Rhinolophus ferrumequinum: one gene and its partner. The protein of the gene in region 2 purifies or fractionates together with the protein of the main gene of each other region. This does not show direct contact. Links are inferred from orthologs where the notes say so. Each region holds a gene or a part of one and is shown on either strand. Other genes may lie near its edges.

Region 1 (10,224 bases), on a different chromosome or scaffold from region 2:
CACAATGCACCAGCTCACAGGGCACTGTCTGTGAGGGAGTTTTTAGCCAGTAAGCAAATAATTGGATTGGAACACGTTCCCTACTCACCTGATCTGGCCCCCAATGACTTCTTTCTTTACCTGAAGATAAAGGAAATATTGAAAGGAAGACATTTTGATGACATTCAGGACAGCAAGGGTAATACGACGACAGAAAAAGAGTTCCAAAATTGCTTTGAAGGGTGGACTAGGTGCTAGCGTCGGTGCACAGCTTCCCAAGGGGAGTACTTGGAAGGTGCAGGTGCCTGTAGTGATATTCAGCAATGAGGTATGGAGCACTTTTTCTAGGATGAGTTCATGAACCTAATTTCCAGACCTCATATACTAAGAAGCATTGCAGGCAGTACACAAAATGAGTAACACCGAGCTGTTGAATGGAATATGAGAAAAGACCTGACCTGGGGAAATGTGGTGTATTCATGGGACACAGAGAAGCTTAGAGCCCCACTGTAAGCAGACAGCCCACTGCAATGTCTGTCTGGTGGGAAACAGGGGCGATGAGGATGGATGTGCATACTTAGCATGGCTTTCAAAGGCCACAGTTGAGCTATGCACCTAAGCTCCTCTGCAGCAAAATGTCTGGTTCATTCATCATCCTTATTACAAATTGTAATTACTTTGCTCGTTCCTTTACTTGACCATTGTCTCCCTGTATCACACATACGCACATGGGGACTCAACTCTTCATTCCCAGAATACATGCGTTAAACCTGCCTTGTTGACTTTCCCCACTGTCTACCAGCATGCTTGGTCCACGGTAAATATTCAATAAACATATTTTGAGTAAGCAAATGAAATGTGTGTATCATCGTAATATTAATAGCTTGTAAAGATCAAATGCAGTCACATGTAAAATGACTAGCACAATGCATGACTACAACAGGCACTAGTCAATATTCCCTCCCTCCTCCCTTCTTCTCTTCCTCCCACCTCCCTCTCTCCCTTCCTCTATGAACTACTCATGGATTAATTCATACATTCAACAAATGTGCCAGGCTTCTCTCCAGACTTCGAGATAGCATAGTGAACAACAGAGAAAAAAAAATCCCTGCCTTCATGGAGCTTACATTCTGAAAGAATGACTGGTTCTTTCTGGATTTTCAGGGAGTCTTATGAAGGCAGTTATTAACAAAAAGGGGTGTGGCTTGAAGGCAGACACATCGGTGGGGGTAAGAAGAGCCTGGAGGAGGGAAGCCAATAACAGTACCACAGGGATGAAGTATAACACGGCTGGGATGAGTGACAGTTACACAACAGAGGAGTGGATATAGGAAGCAATGGGACAAGGCACCCACTGGAGTTGTATGATCCACGAGTGAGGAAGTTGCAATGATGCAAGTTTCCAATCTCGTTAGTTTGCTGTGTTGCCCTGACTAGACAGGGGAAGTTAGGAGGGGAAGCTACTGTGGTTGGTGGGTTTTGGGGTGTGGGATCAGCTACACCCAATTTTGGATACGATGCCTCTGAAGAGAGGGAAAGGAATGTAGGTGAAAGTGCTTAGTACTCAGAGTAAGCATTTAGACTACAGGTGAAAGCCAAACTCCCTTCTTATCTATTATATGAGGCCTGACAATTAAGTTCCCGAACTTGTTCCAACAATGTTGTTAACCTTCTGTTGATCAGAAGGATTACTCATTATGAATTTGTACCAACTGGATAAACAGTTAACCAAGTTTACTTTCTGGAAGTGCTGAAAAAACTGCATGAACAAGTTAGACGACCTGAACTTTTCGCCAACAATTCATGGCTTTTACATCACAACAATGTACCAACTCACAGGTCACTGTCTGTGAGGGAGTTTTTGGCCAGTAAACAAATAACTGGATTGGAACACCCTCCCTACTCACCTGATCTGGCGCCCAGTGACTTCTTTCTTTACACGAAGATAAAGGAAATATTGAAAGGAAGACATTTTGATGACATTCGGGACATCAAGGGTAATACGACGATAGCTCTGCTGGCCATTCCAGAGAAACAGTTCCACAATTGCTTTGAAGGATGAACTAGGCGCGGGCGTTGGTGCATAGCTTCCTAGGGAGAGTACTTGGAAGGTGACCGGAATGATATTCAGCAATGAGGTATGAAGCACTTTTTCTAGGATGAGTTCATGAACTTAATTGTCTGACCTTGTAAATCAGTGACATCTGAATAACATAAAACATTTCTTAATATCTGCCAGACTCCTCTGGGAATCTGCTCCTGCACAACATAATTGATAATTATCCTGTCTTTTCTCTTTTCAGTTCCTAGAACACAGTCGGGCCCTAAATAATATTTGTGAATTGAACTGGTTGACAGTAAGCAAAATCATCATGGCAAAGAGAAAAGAAAAAATGCATTTGGACTCAGTCCAAATTCTTGCTCCCTTCCTCTCTCCTACTAGTTAAAGACCGTGAGCAAATTGTTAGCCTGCATTTTAGACACTTCATGTATGCAATGGATGATCAACTCTATCTCACAGGATGTTGTGAGAGCATTAAATTAAGTCCATGCAAAGTTCAGGTCATCCAGTGGGCACAGAAAACAGGCATTTATCATAGTATTGTTATCTTTGCTTCCATACCTTTTAGGTTTGCCATGCTTTTCACCATCTCACTTAATCCACTTGCTCATTTCTAACATTCCATCCAGGCGATCCTGCTAGAAGCTGTCCTCTTGGCACGGCTACCTGCCAGCCAGCTCTCCTAAAGCTCCCACAGGCCACTGAGCTCCTCTCCTCATGGCTGGCTGGTCCGTCAGTTCTCATCACCCAATGCAACTGAAATTACTACAGCTGGCAAATTCCAAAATCACTGTCAGTACTTTAGATTTGGTGATGTTTACACCTGGCCTACAAATTGCACCTTTGTGTCCTTATTTATACACAACCTGCATCATGCAGTGTTTGAAGCAGCTTCACAGTCCAGCATTTAAAGCTACTCTGAGATAGGTATTTCACAGCAATCATAAGTAAATATGAAAACTGAAAAAGCTATGTCTATATCCTGCTTGCTTCCAAAAAGTAAGCAGGATGAGTTAATCATATTCAAGGATGTTACTTCAAACATACTGATTTCCCTCAGCGATGACTGTCATCCACTGGTCGGGGCATTGCGCTAGATAGACATTGTATAATTTACTTCCCAATGCATTTACTTCTTTCCAAAGTCTCATGCATTCTATATAAATGAGTAAAAGTGTTTTTGTAACCTTCACTTTTCTACACTCTATAGTCCACCCCAAGCTATGGCAATTTCTAATAGGAAGCACACACCAGAGACTGTGTGTGTGTGTGTGTGTGTGTGTACACGCACACACTCGCTGTATGGCCAGTGCAATGGGCTGAATGTTTGTACTCTACCCCGAAATTCCTATGTTAGAACCCTAATCTCCAAAGTGATGGTATTTGGAGGTGGGGCCTTTGAGAGGTGATGAGGTTTTAGATGTGCAGTTTAGAGTAAAGCCCCATGACGGGATTAGTGCCCTTATAAGAAAAGGGAGAGGCCAGTGTTTGCTTCCCCTGCACTTCATGTGAGGACACAGCAAGAAGGCAGCTGTCTGCAAACCAGGAAGCAGGTCCTCATCAGACACCAAATCTGTGGGCACCTTGATCTTGGACTTCCTGCCTCCAGAAGTGTGAGAAAGAAATGTGTATTCTGTGTGCCACGCCATCTGTGGTATTTTGTCATAGCAGCCTGAGCTGTGACAGCAAGTGAATACATCACAGTCCTGAAAAATCAGATTGGAGAAGGGATACCCCTGAGATGGTGAGGAGGTCCAGAGTCCATCCCAGAGGAAGTCACCACAGCCCTGAGGAATCTGCTGTGGTCACCAGCAGGGCACTGGCCACGCTGCACCAGAGCCTTGCCCTCATTTTCCATGGTGAGTCAGTCAGCAAGCGTCCCCTGATAGCAAGCGTCACCACTGCATTGCCCTGGGATCAGCATTTTAGGTGGGAGGAAGGTCCACCCTCTTTCCCCCCATATTGAGAGGACTTTTTCTCATTCTAAGGGTTCCAGGCAAACTCACAATGGTGACATTTCCTGACCAGTGGCTTAAATAAAGGGCTCTCAGAGAGCAAGATGATAACGTGGAGCATAAGCTGGTTTGCGAGGGCACTGAGCCCCAGGAATGCTCCTTGGGAGGGATACACAGCCTCCCAGTGTCAGAGAGAATAAAGGAAACCCACAGCAGGGGAGCTGTGTAGCAAAGGGTCCTGCAGCTCAACTCTGGCAGTGCACTAGGGCAGAAGTAACTGAAATGAGGTAAACAAAATATTGCCTGAAAGACGCTTGTACAAAGAAGCTAGAATAAAACCTTCAGTTGGTTCTACACTATTTTTCTTAAATGCTAGGTAACCTGCAGTACCCCTCTGCAAAAAAGAAAAAAAAATACAAGAGCCAGAAGGAGGGTTTTACTTATTCCCCCCCCCCCACCTCACCTATTCACTATAGAATCAAGATGCTTCTGTTTTTACAGAGGTTTTGGAATTAATCCTTTCAGTACTCCCTAAATTTTCTATGCACTCAAAAACAAACAAACAAACAAAAAACCCTGATTTTTTACATTGCTACTTAATTCAAAAAGACTGGCTCGCCTTCACTCTCTTCATCTCCCTTTAGAGGTAACTTTGTTCTGCATGTTTCTAATATTGCAACAATAGCCCTTGAGTGATTTACCTAGAAAGGTTTTGGTCATGGACTCTGAACACTCCCTTGGTGCTCTGGACTAAACGCTTTTTGTTCTGTAGACAGTTTTCTCTGCCCAAATTCTTCTGGAAAACAGGCCGAAAGAACCTGTGGCATTTCCCAGACACGTCACCAGAATCCTGCAGTGTGCACAGCTAAATGAACACATAAATCGATCCTCCCCCCAAACATTATGACCTTTGAGTCACATAATTGCTTTTCATTAATCAAATTGGAGTTTTAAAGCAACACTTAATTAATTCTATAATTGGCGCAGATTATACCTTTAATGACTTCCACTGTAGCACAAAAACCAGTGATCACTGAATTTGATTTTGAAACTACGGACGCTGAGTTTCCTCTTTCACCCAGAAGTTTCAGATCTTGTTCAAAGTTGGGTGTGGTTTCGTGGGGGGGGAGTGGGGGAGGCCGAGAGGAGACCCGAGGGGAGAGTGGGAAGAAACTTGGCAAGAAAAAACCCGTGTTTGGGCGGCTATCCAGGGTCTGCATATGTTTCTTGCTAAGAAGTCCGCACATTGGAGCAAAATCAGGCTTTGGCGAGTTCTTAAGAACTCCGAGGCGCTGTAGTCTCCCCTACCAGAGAACTACACACAAGAATGCGGCGGCCCGCCTCGAAGTTGGGTAAAACTTGGAAAACCAGTGCGCGCGGGGCCCGGGGAGACCTGAGTCAATCCCGTCTAACGGTTCCCGCAAACCGCTAGGAGCCCTCAACCTAGGCAGGCAGAGAGCACAGTGACTCACTGCCAGTGACTCAACGACCCCACCCCACTCCCTGGGGTCGCCGCCTCGAAGCTCACGCGGTCCAAAGCCGGACCAAGCCCGTCACGTCCCTGAACAGGAACCCTAAGGCGAAAGGGTAAAAAGAGATGCGGGCCAGAGCGATCCCTTTCCAAGCCCAACACGCGAGGCGGCACCGGGGCCCGAGCCCTGCGTCCTGGGCTGTGCGCCCCCCACCTCGCGCTCCAATCTCAGGCGCTCTTTGTTTCTGTTACCACGCCTTCCAATCTGCTGGATCCCTTACTCCCCCTCTTCCTACTCCTTTGCCGGTGCGTCTCCGCACCCACCCGCTCCCCGACCGCTCTTGTAGCCACCCGCCCCTCCCAATTGCGCGCCTCCTCCCACGCCTCTTTGGCGAGGTGCCCGGGACCCCTTTGATCCAGTCTTGGGTGCGTTCCCCCACCAACGTGCGACCCCGCCTTTTTCAGCACCCAGGGGTGAGCAGAGCTCAGGCCATCATCAGGAAAGCCCCCAAAAGTCCCTGCCCAGCCAAGAAGTAACGGGACCATGCTCAGTCGCGAGAGCCGAGGAGCAGGGAGGAGGAAGACTCCAAAGTGCCCACGCCCCAACCCCCTCCCACCCTTCCCGCTACTCGCCGGGTCCCCATTGGCTGGCGAACTCCGGATGGAGGTGGGAGGGGACCCTTTACCATCAACGTTATAAAAACTGCGCCCTCGGCGGGGTCCCGTCCTCTGCCACTCTCGCTCCAGGGTCTCCGCGCCAGAGACGCAGCAGCGTTCCCACCGCCCACACCCACCGCGCCCTTGCTCGCCTCTGCCCGGAGCCAGTCCGCGCCGCCACAGCCACCCAGCCCATTGCCACCCTCCGCAGCCATGTCCACCAGGTCCATGTCCTCGTCCTCCTACCGCAGGATGTTCGGCGGCCCCGGCACCGCCAGCCGGCCGAGCTCCAGCCGGAGCTACGTGACCTCGTCCACCCGCAGCTACAGTCTGGGCAGCGCTCTGCGCCCCAGCACCAGCCGCAGCGTCTACGCCTCGGCCCCCGGCGGTATGTACGCTACGCGCTCCTCGGCGGTCCGCCTGCGGAGCGGTGTCCCGGGCTTGCGGCTGCTGCAGGACTCGGTGGACTTCTCGCTGGCCGACGCCATCAACACCGAGTTCAAGAACACCCGCACGAACGAGAAGGTGGAGTTGCAGGAGCTGAATGACCGCTTCGCCAACTACATCGACAAGGTGCGCTTCCTGGAGCAACAGAACAAGATCCTGCTGGCCGAGCTCGAGCAGCTCAAGGGCCAGGGCAAGTCGCGACTGGGGGACCTCTACGAGGAGGAGATGCGGGAGCTGCGCCGGCAGGTGGACCAGCTCACCAACGACAAGGCCCGCGTCGAGGTGGAGCGCGACAACCTGGCCGAGGACGTTATGCGGCTCCGGGAGAAGTAAGGCGACGCCCACGCGGGGCCGCGGGAGGGAGGGAGAGGGGTTCGCGCCCCCCCCCAAGAGGAGCTGCCACGCCCTTGGGGATGTAACCGGGGCGGCGGCAGCGGGGGGTGGGGGGGGGAGGGGGGATAGCAGCGAAGCGGGGATGTGGCTGCGATGGCTCAGCCCGGCCCGGAACCCAGACTTTGCAGTTCCCCTCTACACCCACTCATTGCTTAAGAACGCCCGTTTCAGGTTGCATTTTTTTTTGAAAGTGCCAGTTGTTAGTTGAAGGCCCTTGCAAACGATGAGCGCAGTTCGTTCAAACTCTTAGAAAGTTTCCTGGCCCCTTCTGGCGGACTGCCAGCCCTGAGGCGGGGGTGGGGGGGGGTAGAAACTGTGCCGGAAGCTAGACAAAGGGGTTGCAGAGGCTTCTCGGGGACGGGGTGACGGCGTTCGCCTTGCAGGTAGGTCCCTGCGACCACCGTGATTGCTTTTCTACTCTGCGACCCAAGTCCCGCTAAAACTTGTCGAGGGTGACAGTTCCGAAAGCTGCAGTCGCTGGGTGCCCGCGGAGGTGGCGCAGCAACTATTGTCTCGCTGCACAGCGACTTGGTGGTTGGGTGTGGCCGCCCCGCCCCTGGCGGTTTCCCAGTTCCCCTCTGGTTAATGTGCAACTGTTTCAGATTGCAGGAGGAGATGCTTCAGAGAGAGGATGCCGAGGGAACCCTGCAGTCTTTCAGACAGGTTTGTAGATCCTCTTCCCATTCGCAGCCACTGGACCCCACCCAACCAACCCAAGCCACGCGCAATTCTAAAAGTTACCCCAAGTCTAAGAGTGCAAAACTTCACGTCTGTGCGCAAAGCCCCCTAGTGGCAAAAAGACCCCAGATTGGAGCTTCCTCGATAAAATCCCTAGGATGATTGTTCTTAAGGACAGAGTCTTTAACTTTTTACTTTGTTTCCAGATTTTTTCCAAAGAAATATTTTTTCCGTTTATTTCTTGCAACACATTGATAATCTGATTTACAACAGTTACAGTTTGAGTGAGATTGCTGTTTGTGAAGTCAAGTTGGCTAACTTTTTACAAAGCCACAAAAAGCGCAATTCTGCCCTGTAGTTAAAAATGTAAAACGTGTTGGAGGATAAGAAAGTTAGCTTAACTGGAACGAAGCCAGCAAGGTTTTCTCCTTTGCAAATTCTATTGTGGCATTAAAATTAGATGGAAGTATCGCTATGCACAACTATTTTGTGGTCTAATAAGTGTGAAAAGGAGCCATCTGTCCTCTGGCTGAAAGGTATTAATGGTTTCTCTGGGCTTCACTATGGAATGTAGATACAGACTCTGGCTAGTGTGATGGCTCTGGACAGAAATAATAGGAGTCTTTGTGTTCCCAGAGAAGCTTTGCAACAGGCTACATTCTTATTGAATATGTAATGATGTAAGCACAATTCTAATTGGACACAAGTATTTGCTAACATCCGTTATCTAATATCTGGCCCAGACTTGTGAAGTATGTGATGTGAAAAGTTCTTAAAGCTACAATCATGCCTCACATTTGGAAAGGTCTTAATACTTTTTAACTTCTCTCCATAAATAAAGAATAACCCCAAGGCTGAAAAATGGAATTTTAATTAAAGGGGTTTTTTGTGTTGTTTTTTTGTTTGTTTTTGCTCCAAAGTTAGATGGATTTAAAGGATTTTTTTAAACTTAAAGTTGGAATTCAAAAGCAGGAAGAGTTCCCAGCATAGCTGAATAACAATTTGAAGCAGAAATACATTTGCCAAAATAATTTAAACACAGCAATGTGTGGTCATTTTAGTCATTGGGCATTTATGATCATCATATTTGTAATGTTTTTCAGGGTAGTGAGTTAACATAAAACAGTATTAGTATAAAAGATCTGTTTAGGGATTAAGTAACATTCCTCATATTCTCTTCAATGAAGTAGAATGTCACATTATACTTTTTAAAATAGAGGCTAGCAAGTTATTTCTTACATCTTTTTTTTAGGGCTTACTAACAAGCAAAAATGAATTTTTCCAAAGCCTCATTATTTTTAAATCATCACCCATTCCTCAGTTACATTCCCATAAAGGTAGAAGAAGTATCAACATTTTAAGACGATAAGGCTATAAAACTATACTCCAAAGATAACCGCTTACAAGATCAGAGGTATAAAAATCCTTATGATATTCCCTTGAGGGGAAATAAAATCTGAGTTGTAACACAGTGGGAACTCAGAAGGAGAGCCAAAGTAGCAAGAATTCTACATATACAGTAGTTTCATTATATGCAAAAGTTTTGATCAGTCATTCTGAAACTAAGTAACTGAATTGACACAGTGCTAAGTGAAAAGGATGGACACACCCTGTAGAATGAGGCAGGGGTTTCAGAAAGGAAAAAAATTCACCAGCGAAAGCAAAGAAAATACAGTTCAGAGTTACATTTCTTTTCATGATTTGCTTGATCTGCATCTTTGCCAGTGTCCATCCTGAATTGGAGTATTAATCTAGCTTTGTAACTTGAATGCCAGATGACTCCATATTTGCTTTGGATCGTAAGGATCCAATTCAGGAGATTTGAGCAGAGGGGGTTGGAAATAGAGCTTTGGTACACACATTTGAAGTGCAAATTTCTGTTCTACATGTACTCATGCATTTATGAAGTTGTGACATCTGGTCAACTCCTAGCATTGCATTATTCCATGACATTTCAAAAAAAATTTTTTTAATGCTGTGGCATTGATTTTCCAAATTAAAAAAAAAAAAAAAAAAAAAAAAAAACTTCACTGGTATAATGTGGATTCAGTAGTAATTTACCGAGTACAGTTTACCATGGTGGGATACATTTATTTATTTTTAAATTGTCTGTTAGTCACCTTGAGTACACCACAGTGGGTCACAATTCAAATTTTTTAATGAAGAGAAGAAAACATAGTATATTAAGCACTGGGTAATTTACAAACTTACTCGAAAGTCATAAAATTTGTCAACACCCTTTTTATACTAAATACAATGAGCTCAGATGGTTAATTTGAAATGACTAAATAAGCCATAGACTTTAGCATCTTCAATGTCTTGTCTTTTCTCTTTTCAAAATAGGATGTTGACAATGCTTCTTTGGCACGTCTTGACCTTGAGCGTAAAGTGGAATCCTTGCAAGAAGAAATTGTCTTTTTGAAGAAACTGCATGAGGAGGTAAGCGGAGTCCCTTTTCATGAATGAACATGGGTGAAGCTACTCCCATACTTGGGATGGCTGACCTTCTGTCTGTTCTTTCTTGAGGAAATCGGGGAGCTGCAGGCTCAGATTCAGGAACAGCATGTCCAAATTGATGTGGA
Region 2 (10,039 bases):
AGAAGTCAGAGTCTTTTTTAACCTAACCACAAAGGTGACATCTCATCACTGTGGCCAAATTCTATCCCTTAGGAACAAGTCACTAAGGTCCAGCCAACAGTCAAGGGGTGGGGATTACACAAAGGTATGAATACCAGGTGGTAGGCACTCTAAAGATGTGAAAATTGGAAGTGCACATGGACAAAGAAAAGTAAAGAAAATAGAAAAGTAGGCAAGGGTGGCAGGAGGGTCAGATGAAGTAGGCCTGATAAGCCCTGTTAAGGAGTTGACCTTATTTCAAAGCGCAGCCATCAGTTTCAAGGCAGCAGGAGGATGTGGTCAGTTTTGTGCCTTAAATAGCTCAGTCTGCCAAATCAAGAGATATTAGAGAGCTGAGGGAAACCACAGAAGAAATAGCTAAAAGAGTAAAATATTGTTACCTCTGGGCTTAGAAGGAGTCAGAAGAGGAGATTGTTGCTTTTCATGATTGAGCCTATCTATATATATTGTGAGTGTTTTTTAAACCACATATACATAATGCTTTTATTTAAAGGATTTTCTAATTTAAAAAAATGGAAAGGGAATAAAAAGAAAGAAGCTATAGAAAGGAAATTATTTTACCAATAATGTAGTGTAAATTCAAGAGCACAAATGCAGTAGGTGATTCTGTTTGGGGGGTGGGTGGGGGGTGTGAACTATTTGACATTCCTATGGCTTCCCTCTGTCTCAATGCTGGGAAGAAGGAGTGAGTCATGTGATTGGGAGTTTGTGTTCCCAGAAGGCTGTCAAAGAAGCACTGGAGATCCAGAAGGCCCTCTGCTGAGAGCTGGGAGGGTCGGGGGTGGGGCCTAAGCTTTAAAAATGACAATTTCTGTTCTTACAGATCTCACAGTTTAGAGGGGGCATCTAGCCCAGTCTAGGAAAGGTCAAGGAAGGCTTCCTGGAGGAGGTGGCCTCAAATGTGACCGGGGATTCTTTTAAGAGGCAAATCAAGACGGGATCAGCATGATGCTTGGGACAATGGCAAGTAATTCATGAAGGTAGGGAAAGGGCACAGCAAGAAAGATGCTAGGGCCAAATAGTGAAGGGCCTTCTGTGCCAAACTAAGGAGCTTAGATTTTATCCTTAGGGCAAAGGGCAGAGGCCAAGAGCCTGTGAAGGACTTTGTACAGTAGGTGACATAGTCATATTTTTACTTTGAATAATCACTGCAGGGCAGCAAATTTATTGGACTGCATGAACCACAGATTGTCTGAATTTCTTAGCTACACATCTCCGTAATCCACCAGCATCACATTTTGTCCAGGCAAAACAGAGATGCTTCTTCCCAGGGAAATCTCACTCTCTGCCCACTGTTGTCTGATTTTAACCTCCAAAAACTATAGCTCAGGAGTTTCAAGTAGCTGGATTTTGATCTGGCAGAAAGCAGGGTTTGCTCTGTCAACAGTTTCAGCAGAAACTCCTTCCACTTGTGTGGGCAATTTAGAGATAGCATTTCTGAAAAGGGCTGTGGATAAAGGACGTTGCTGCTCTGGGAAAAGATGTCTGTCTCCTGCCAGGAGGAGATGAAGGACACCGTTCAAAGAGGAAGGTCAAATTGCCCTCAACAGTTCTTTTTTTGTTTGTTTCTTTTTTAAGTCTTGTCTTTTTCCATTTTTATATTAGCATCAGCTTTTTATCCCACCGTGTCCTTTGGGGGAAGGTTAAACGATGCGTCTTAGGAATATTATGTACTTCACCAAACTACATGGTCCTGATGCCTAGAGGAAAAAGGGTACAATGATAACAGAGCAGGGTGTACAGCAGAGAAGAACAGCTCCCCTACCACTCCGTTCTCTAGTCCTTGTGACGGAGCTTATCAAAGCCTGTCTGGCACCTAGTGATATTTAATAATCTTCTAAGAACGGGAGGCTCTTCTGTAGAATAGTAAATCTGCAGTAGAAACAGATATCTCGTCAGAAAACCACATACCATATCCCCAACTTCCCCTTTTAGGGATACCTCTAAAGAGGTGGAAGATGCTATGCGAGAATCTCAGGACCATCCCCTGAGACCTGCCACCATGGAAAGACTTTTCCTTCTCTGAGAACAGAGGGGGACAAAAGGAATCAGGGTCGTGGTCCCAAAGAAAGGTAGCCTGGTGCCTCTCCATGATAAGGTTATATTATTGCCCTGAGAAAGAGGAACACAGAATCCCTGCAATTCTTACTGGAAGACTCTGTGTAGAAGACTCTTTGCTTCCAGCCAGATGGCTGCTGAAGAATCCAGCTTCATGCTGTGCTTGGTTCAGATCTGTCCAAACAACTTAGAGTTTTCTACAGAAGAAGTGAACCAGTCTAGTGCCATCTTGACCAAAGTCCAGCATTCTCTGTTGAACAAGAAACTACACAGCCTACAATGGTCTGGAGATTTGATTTCCACAGGTGGGTGGGTTAAGCATCACAGGTCTGGCAAGTGTATTTGCAGCTTAGAGGACTAAATCCAAAGGTTGATAACCAATGCACTCTTGAACTTAAAACAACTAATACAATGTCCCTTTAGGTAATATGTCTTACTATTACCAGACTCAGGCCCGGCACTGCTTGTCAACACCAAGAACCTGAATGACAACGGTTGATGAGAAGAAAAGCGTACTTTATTCTAGATGCCGGCAGCTAGCGAAGAAGGCAGACAAACGTCCAGAAAAAAAAACACCTTTTCGGAACTGAGAATAATCAAGAGGTTTTATAATCAAGCAGGCGGGTGGGGGAAAGAACAAAGAAAAGTGGGAGTTGGTCATGTAAATGTTTCAGGGCTGACAGTTGAGAAATTGCCTCCCAGGGCCTGGTCTGAGAAATCGCCTCCCATGGACTGGTCTGCTTCATAATATTATCTCGAAATCAGTAGCCGGGGCTGGAGTGTTTCGTGCATCATCAGCAAAAATTGCAAGGGAGTTGCAACCATGGATCCCGGTGTCCAGGCGGCAGAAAATTGAGAAATTGTTCTTTCCAGGTTAATGTTCTGCTGATTAATTAGATCAACAAGGTATGTATAGTCTTCAGAAAGGGAACAGAGCAGAGTTATTAAATCAGGCAGTGAGGGCAAAAACCAAAGAGAAAACAGCTGAATATCAGGAGGCTAAATAGCGAACTATGAGGAGATCCAAACTGCAAACTAGATAAATCTGTGTTATTGATTCCCAAGTTTCACCCTTACAGTACCAGCTATGTAGTTATCTCTAGCCTCATGGCAAAATGTTACATTCCTAGGAAAGAAAATTCTCGTAGTTAAAACTAAAGGTCTTAGAAGATCTCTTGTTCCCTCTCAGTAAACACTAAAGTGCTGTACTGATAATGACACATAGCAGATGAATAGACTTAAACTTTAAACGAGTCCTTTGCCCCAACTGAATTTCTTTCTAGACAGTGAAGTTTCTCTGATCCTCTCTTTCATATCTTTCTCTAAAGGACAATTTCAACAGAGCATTTTAAACTGTAATTTAAAATTCCCTGAGATCAACCAAAAAAAAATTAAAGACAATATCTGATTTCCACGTGCCTCTGTGTCAACATATGAAACGTCCAAATCTGTAGAGAATTTTTATGAGTTTATTTGGGCCAAACTGACAACAATTGCCAGGAAGCAAAATCTCAACGGATTGAGAAAATGCTCTGGAGAATGGCAGTTTTGCAGCTTTATTTTATACATTAGAATCAAAGGAGGAGACGTAAAGAGGGTTACATGAAATCCATTGGTGGTAGATTAAGGGGGCGGGAGAAAGCAAAGCAGGGAAGTCTCTGGGATTGGATAAAAAGTAAAACAGAGAGACATACTTCTTTTACATTGGTGGGTACAGGATAGTTCATAATGAACAGTTATAGCACATAGAGATGGTATTCGGGGAACAAGATAACAGTGAGGTGTTCTGTGGGTCTCTTGCTCTGGTCTGAGGGGTCTGGAAAAGGAGAGTACACTGACATTCCAAGGGCTCGTTATCTTAGGTGCAAAAAGACAATAGACAGGCTCACTTAAGGTAAAGATTGACCTTTTTGTCAAGGAAACTACAGGCATAGGACATGACTACCCATCATGCCTAGCTTTTATTAGGAATTTTTATATTCAGCCCATCCTGTGTAGTTACTTTCAGTCTTTGAGTTTGTAAGGCCTGCCATGCTGGCCTCCCCTGAGCTCGTCAGGTTTAGTGTGTGCCCTCTTTTTTGTCCATATCTGTAAATAAATTGGAAAGAAATTGATTTATTTATCTATTTATGTCTCTCCCAAATAAATGTCATTGGATATCACAAGGGCCCTGCAATTTCTCCCCATGAGAGCAATCAGAACACATACACATACACTGTTGAATCAGTTGTCCACCTGTCCCTAGCCAGGGATCCACCATATGACCAAGCAAGCCTGGGGGGCCAGAACTCTTCAGATGATCGAAGACTTCCTCCAGCAACAGCTACCATCTACATGTACTTCGATTTAGTATTTAAAGAGGAAGCAAGAGATGTGAAACTGAATATCAACAGGATAGTAACTAATATTATGGAATTAATGTTAATCTTTTAGAGGTGACACTGTTTATGATTTTTAAAAATAGTTCTTATCTTTTAGGTGCTCGTAGATACCGAAATGTTTATAAATGAAATAATACATCTGGGATTTGCTTTAAAGTAAGGGGGGGTAGTAGAAAGGTATTGTTAAAAAACAAAATTCAACCAAGTAAATCTGAAGATCTAATTGACTTTATTAAGTGATTCATGAATCAGGCAACATCCCCTCCAGTAACTAGAAGAGAGTGCTCCCAAGAGTTGTATAAAATGGAAAATTTTTACAGGAAGCGGAGTGGGGCAAGGAAGCTAATAATGGAAGAAAAGGATTATTTTGTGACAGGGACATCTTTTCTGTGGGAAAGTGAAGGGTTTTATTATGTAGATTGTCCCAATGGAGAGGGCTTACAAGTATGTTACCTTATTGGGGCTTGACCAGAAAATTCCATATTGGTTGATTATGTTTCTGGGAGAAGTCGAAACTGCAATTAGATCTGGTATTAAATATGGGTTTGGTATCATGGGCTTTTAGCATCAGTGATACCATGTGGGACCTGTTTTTTCTTTTCTTTAACAGTATAGATAAATAAACTAATGACCGTTTGTTGATAATTTGTTGAAGCAGGTGAATGTGTACATAGGGTTCACTATACTATTTTTGTGTTTGAAATTTTCCGTTTTTAAAAAAAGGCAAGAAACGGGCGGCTGGATGGCTCAGTTGGTTAGAGCGTGAGCTCTTAACAACAAGGTTGCCAGTTCAATTCCCGCATGGGATGGTGGGCTGCGCCCCCTGCAACTAAGATTAAAAACCGCGACTGGACTTGGAGCTGGGCTGTGTCCTCCACAACTAGATTAAAGGACAACTATTTGAAGCTGATGGGCCCTGGAGAAACACACTGTTCCCCAATATTCCCCAATAAAAATTTTTTTTAAAAAGGCAAGAAAAAAAGAAATCACTCATTATAAATCCTTTCATCAGCATTTCTAACAGTGGGTTTGGGTAACAGGGCTCTGCCACCAACAAGCTGTGACTGGGCAAATCCTTCCATGTCTCCGGAATTCAGCTCACTCATCTGAAAAATGTCGTTCATCTGAAAAATGTCGCCTTTGGGTGGGATTTCTCTTGGAGTACTAAGAAGTGAGCAGGGGCTGTGCGTTTGTAGAGAGGAGCTTAAAGGCATTGGGGAGAGTAAGGACTCAATAGTTATGGCAAATGAACTTGAATGTCACCTGATTGTCACTGCCCTTTCTATGAGTCAGTTTCCTTACCTATAAAAATGATATTCCTATCTTCTTGGTGGGAATATTAAATAAATTAACAGTTGTAAAGACTCTGGCACCACGGGTGATACTCAATAAACATTAGTTTTCCTTCTCAACTTCTCGACTGTTCACAATCTGGACCTGCCTGACACGCAACCCCTCCACCCTGGGTCCAAAGTGCAAAAGGGCAAGCAACTACCCGCAGCCAGGTGCGCGCACAGCGCCCCCGCGCGCCCAGCCAGGGAACCGCCAGATCGGCGACCCCGCCCATCGGCCTCCGCGCCTGCGCAGAGGCACCGCCCCAAAGTTTCTTGTTGTGACCGGCGTCCCCGACGCCTGCGGCTGCTGGTGCACTTGGTCGCGGCGCTACTATGGCGGTGCGACAGGCGCTGGGTCGGGGCCTGCAGCTGGGTCGGGCGCTGCTGCTGCGTTTCACGGCCAAGCCTGGCCCGGTCTACGGCTGGGGGCGGCCAGAGCGGCCGGGCCCCGCGGCGGCCTGGGGCCGCGGAGAGCGCCCGGGCCAGGCCGCGGGACCCGGCGCGGAGCCGCACAGGCTCGGGCTCGGGCTCCCCGACCGCTACCGCTTCTTCCGCCAGTCGGTGGCCGGGCTGGCGGCGCGGCTCCAGCGGCAGTTCGTGGTGCGGGCCCGGGGCGGCGCGGGCCCTTGCGGCCGGGCCGTCTTTCTGGCCTTCGGGCTGGGGCTGGGCCTCGTCGAGGAGAAGCAGGCGGAGGGCCGGCGGGCGGCCTCGGCCTGTCAGGAGATCCAGGTGAGCACTGGCCGCGGACAGCGAGGATGGAGCCCAGTGTCACGCTAGGAGCGGGACTTTAAGTCGATGGGGGACGGGGCTGGGGATGTGAGCCGGGGCTTGAGCGTTGTGAGGGGCGGTGCTAGGGTGTGGGCGTGGCGAGGGGCGGGGCTGGGGGCATTGACTGACGGGGGCCCTGGATCAATATTTATCCTTGTCAGACCCGGAAATTCCTTGCAAATCACCGATTAAGGCTCATTTTCGGTGTTAACTGATCTCCTGGTATGGGGCCAGCACCTCCCATTTGTTTTACTGTCTTCCCTTCCTCAAACAGCACGTTTTGGAAGATAATGCTGCTAATTACAGCTCCTGTTGCACCATTGCTAATGACTCTGCGTAAATTTTGTAAAATTTAATGACAAGTCACAACGCTTCTATCCCTGAGGTAGTGGTCATCCCCAATTTATGGATGAGGAAACGTACTCAGAGAGGTGAAGTAACTTGCCCGAAGTCACACAGCTAATAAAGAGCAGTGCCCAAAGTCTGACTCTCCAAGGCCTGTACCCTTAACCACTGAGCCAGTCTGCCTCCACAGTTTAGCCAAACAATTAGTGACACAGCTGAAATCAAAGTAAAACCATGAACAGCAGGAGAAAATAGCACACCTAACAGTTTTTAGTCAACCTGTGAGCGTTATTAGGAGAGAGTGAATATGTTATTAGGCTCTTTTAAATGCTTAAAATAGCCCAGAGACCTCTCTCTGTTTCTCCTCTACCAAAATCTGTATTAGTCAGCGTTCTCTAGAGATACAGAACCAATAGGATGTGTTTATAGAAAAAGAGGTTTATTTTAAGGAGTTGGCTCTGCAATTCTGGAGGCTGGCAAGTCTCCCAAAAATCGTTTGGGTAGGTAGGCAGGATGGAGACCCAGGGAAGAGCCATTGTTGTAGTTCAAGTGTGAAAGCCACATGCTGGCAGAATTCTCTCCTCTTTTTGGGAGTTCAGCCTTCTTCCTGGGGTTTGGAGCCACTGTTAGTACAACCCCTACAATTGACAATTTAGGGCTGAGGTGGTGGAAGATGGAGTCACTTGCCCAAGGACACCTCTGGTTAAGGACCAAGCATGTTTCCTGGTTTCCAGCCCAGTTCTTGTTACTCAGCCAGAATGTCTCATGTTTGAGCTCAGGCTAGTTTGGGACGACAGGTGACATCTGACCTAGTCCCCAGCCACTGTCCTTGTCTTTTGCTACAGCTTAACTGGCAGAAGCCAAAGGTGGGAAATTTGATAATCCTGCTTAGAATTATGGAGGCTTTTTTTTTTTTTTAACTGAGGAGCTTGGTCCTTCTGAGCTTATTATCTGTACATCCTTTTCTTACATTTTACCCTACTGTGTCTTAAAATGTTTAATTAGTTGATGATTAATATTAAAAATTCAGGTGTTCCACTTTTGAAAATAATCACCAGCGCTGGCAACTCTAATGCTAAAATTCCATATGGTGTCAGACCAGACAAAGTAAAAGAAAGGCTACTCCTTTTAGATGGAGGCATGTGGGGAAAAAAAAAACAACAATCCAGTTATAAAATAGGCAAAAGACATGAGTGTGTATTTCACCAAGAGGAGATACAGATGCCAAATAAGTATATGAAAAGATATTCAGCATCAGGGAATGCCATTAGGGAAATGCAGATTGAAAACACAATGTGATATCACTGCATACTTATTAGGACAGCTAAAATTTAAAAAAAAAAATAGTGATAATACCAAATGCTGGTGAAGATGCAGAGAAACTGGACTGCTGGTGAGAATATAAAATGGTACAACAACTCTGGAAAATAATGAGCAGATTTTTACAAAATTAAACATGCAGTACCATATGACCCAGCCATTGCAGTCTTGGGCGTTTACCCAGAGAAATAAAAACTTGTATTCACACAAAAACCTGTACACAACTTGCTGCTATCTAAAACAGTGTGGTAGTTCCCCCAGAAATTAAAAATGAAATTATCATATGATCCAGCAATTTCACTTCTGGGCGTACACCCCAAAGAATTGAGAGCAGGGATTTGAACAGGTATTTGTACACCTGTGTTCATAGCAGCATTATTCAGAATAGTCAGAAGGTGGAAGCAACCCACGTGTGCATCAATGGATGGATAAATAAGCAAATGTGGAATATACATACAATGTAATATTCACCTTAAAAAGGAAGGAAATTCCGACATATGCTACAACATGGATGAACCTTGGGGACAATATGCTAAGTGAAATAAGCCAGACACAAAAAGACACAGTCTCAGGCTTCCGCTCATCTGCGGTACTTAGAGTTGTCAAATGCATAGAGACATAAAGTAAAATGGGGGCCGCCAGGAGCTGGAAGGAGAAGGGCTGGGGAGTTACGGGTTAATGGGTATTGAATTTGAGATTTGCAAGATGAAAAATGTTCTGGAGCTGGATGGTGGTGATGGTTGTACAACAATGTGAATGTACTTAATGCCACTGAACTGTGCACTTAAAAATGGTTTTAATGGTCAGTTTTATGTTATGTATATTTTACCACAGTTCTTAAAAAATGGTTTAAAACCCTGTACAGAAATCATAGCATCATTCATAACAGCAAAATAGTATACACAACTGAACCGTCCTTCTGCAGGTGGATTGTTAAACTCTCGTATCCATACAGTGGGATACCAAGCGATAATAAGGAATTAACTGCTGATGGTGGTAACCAGCTACGCGAACCTCAAGGGCATTGTGCTGAGTGAAAAAAGTCCGTCCCGGAAGGTTATACTGGGTGATTCCATTTATATAACTTTCTTTAAATGACAAAACTATCGATATGGAAAACAGATCAGTGAATGACAGGGGGTAGGGCCGGGGTAGGGGGTGGCACAAATACAAAGAGGTAACACAAAGGAGTTTTTTGAGCCTATGCATGGGATAAAATTGCATAGAGCTACACACATGCGCACACACACACACACAAATGAATGTGGGTTAAAAAAGATGGTGAAAACTGAGTAAGGTCTGTAGTGAACAGTGGTATACCAGTTGCTTTCCTGATTTTGACACTGTACTGATGCTTTATAAAATGTCACCATTGGGGGAAACTGGGTGAAGGGTACACAGGGCACTCTGTACTATCTTTTTGCAACTTCCGTGAGTCTAAATTATTTCAAAATAAAAAGTTAAAAAGCTATATCACATTCTCAAAACCATGGTTGATAAAGGATTACTCTACAAAATGCTGCTTCTGCTCTGTGGAGTTTAGAGACTAGTAGACAACACAAGGTAGACTTCCATTTTTCTAAGAAGTAAAAGTTACCGTGCAAGGTGTATTAGCTTATAGATAGTGCTTTAGGACTCCTCCAGAAGGAAAGGTGGCTGTGGGCTGGGTTGTCAGAGCTGGTTATACAGGAAGGAGGAGCTTGAGTTGGGACTCCATGGGTGATGGGGCATGAGCCAGGCAGAGCAAAACAATAGAAATAGGGGCTGAGGGGAATAGTATGAGCTAAGAGGCAG

What was found. The genes of interacting proteins can lie anywhere in the genome.
Region 1: the proteins of PINK1 (region 2) and VIM purify together in Homo sapiens (affinity purification with mass spectrometry; 3 studies listed by BioGRID and IntAct, with this or other methods). This does not show direct contact. The link is inferred for Rhinolophus ferrumequinum from reciprocal best matches to the Homo sapiens genes PINK1 and VIM.

The regions. Positions count from the first base shown.
Region 1 is NW_022680355.1:3,289,639-3,299,862, forward strand, and holds the start of VIM (vimentin), read left to right. Parts: upstream 1-6,200; 5' UTR 6,201-6,337; coding exon 6,338-6,900; intron 6,901-7,566; coding exon 7,567-7,627; intron 7,628-9,985; coding exon 9,986-10,081; intron 10,082-10,168; coding exon 10,169-10,224. UniProt on the Homo sapiens protein: Vimentins are class-III intermediate filaments found in various non-epithelial cells, especially mesenchymal cells. Vimentin is attached to the nucleus, endoplasmic reticulum, and mitochondria, either laterally or terminally.
Region 2 is NC_046292.1:13,913,418-13,923,456, forward strand, and holds the start of PINK1 (serine/threonine-protein kinase PINK1, mitochondrial), read left to right. Parts: upstream 1-6,101; 5' UTR 6,102-6,145; coding exon 6,146-6,541; intron 6,542-10,039. UniProt on the Homo sapiens protein: Serine/threonine-protein kinase which acts as a sensor of mitochondrial damage and protects against mitochondrial dysfunction during cellular stress.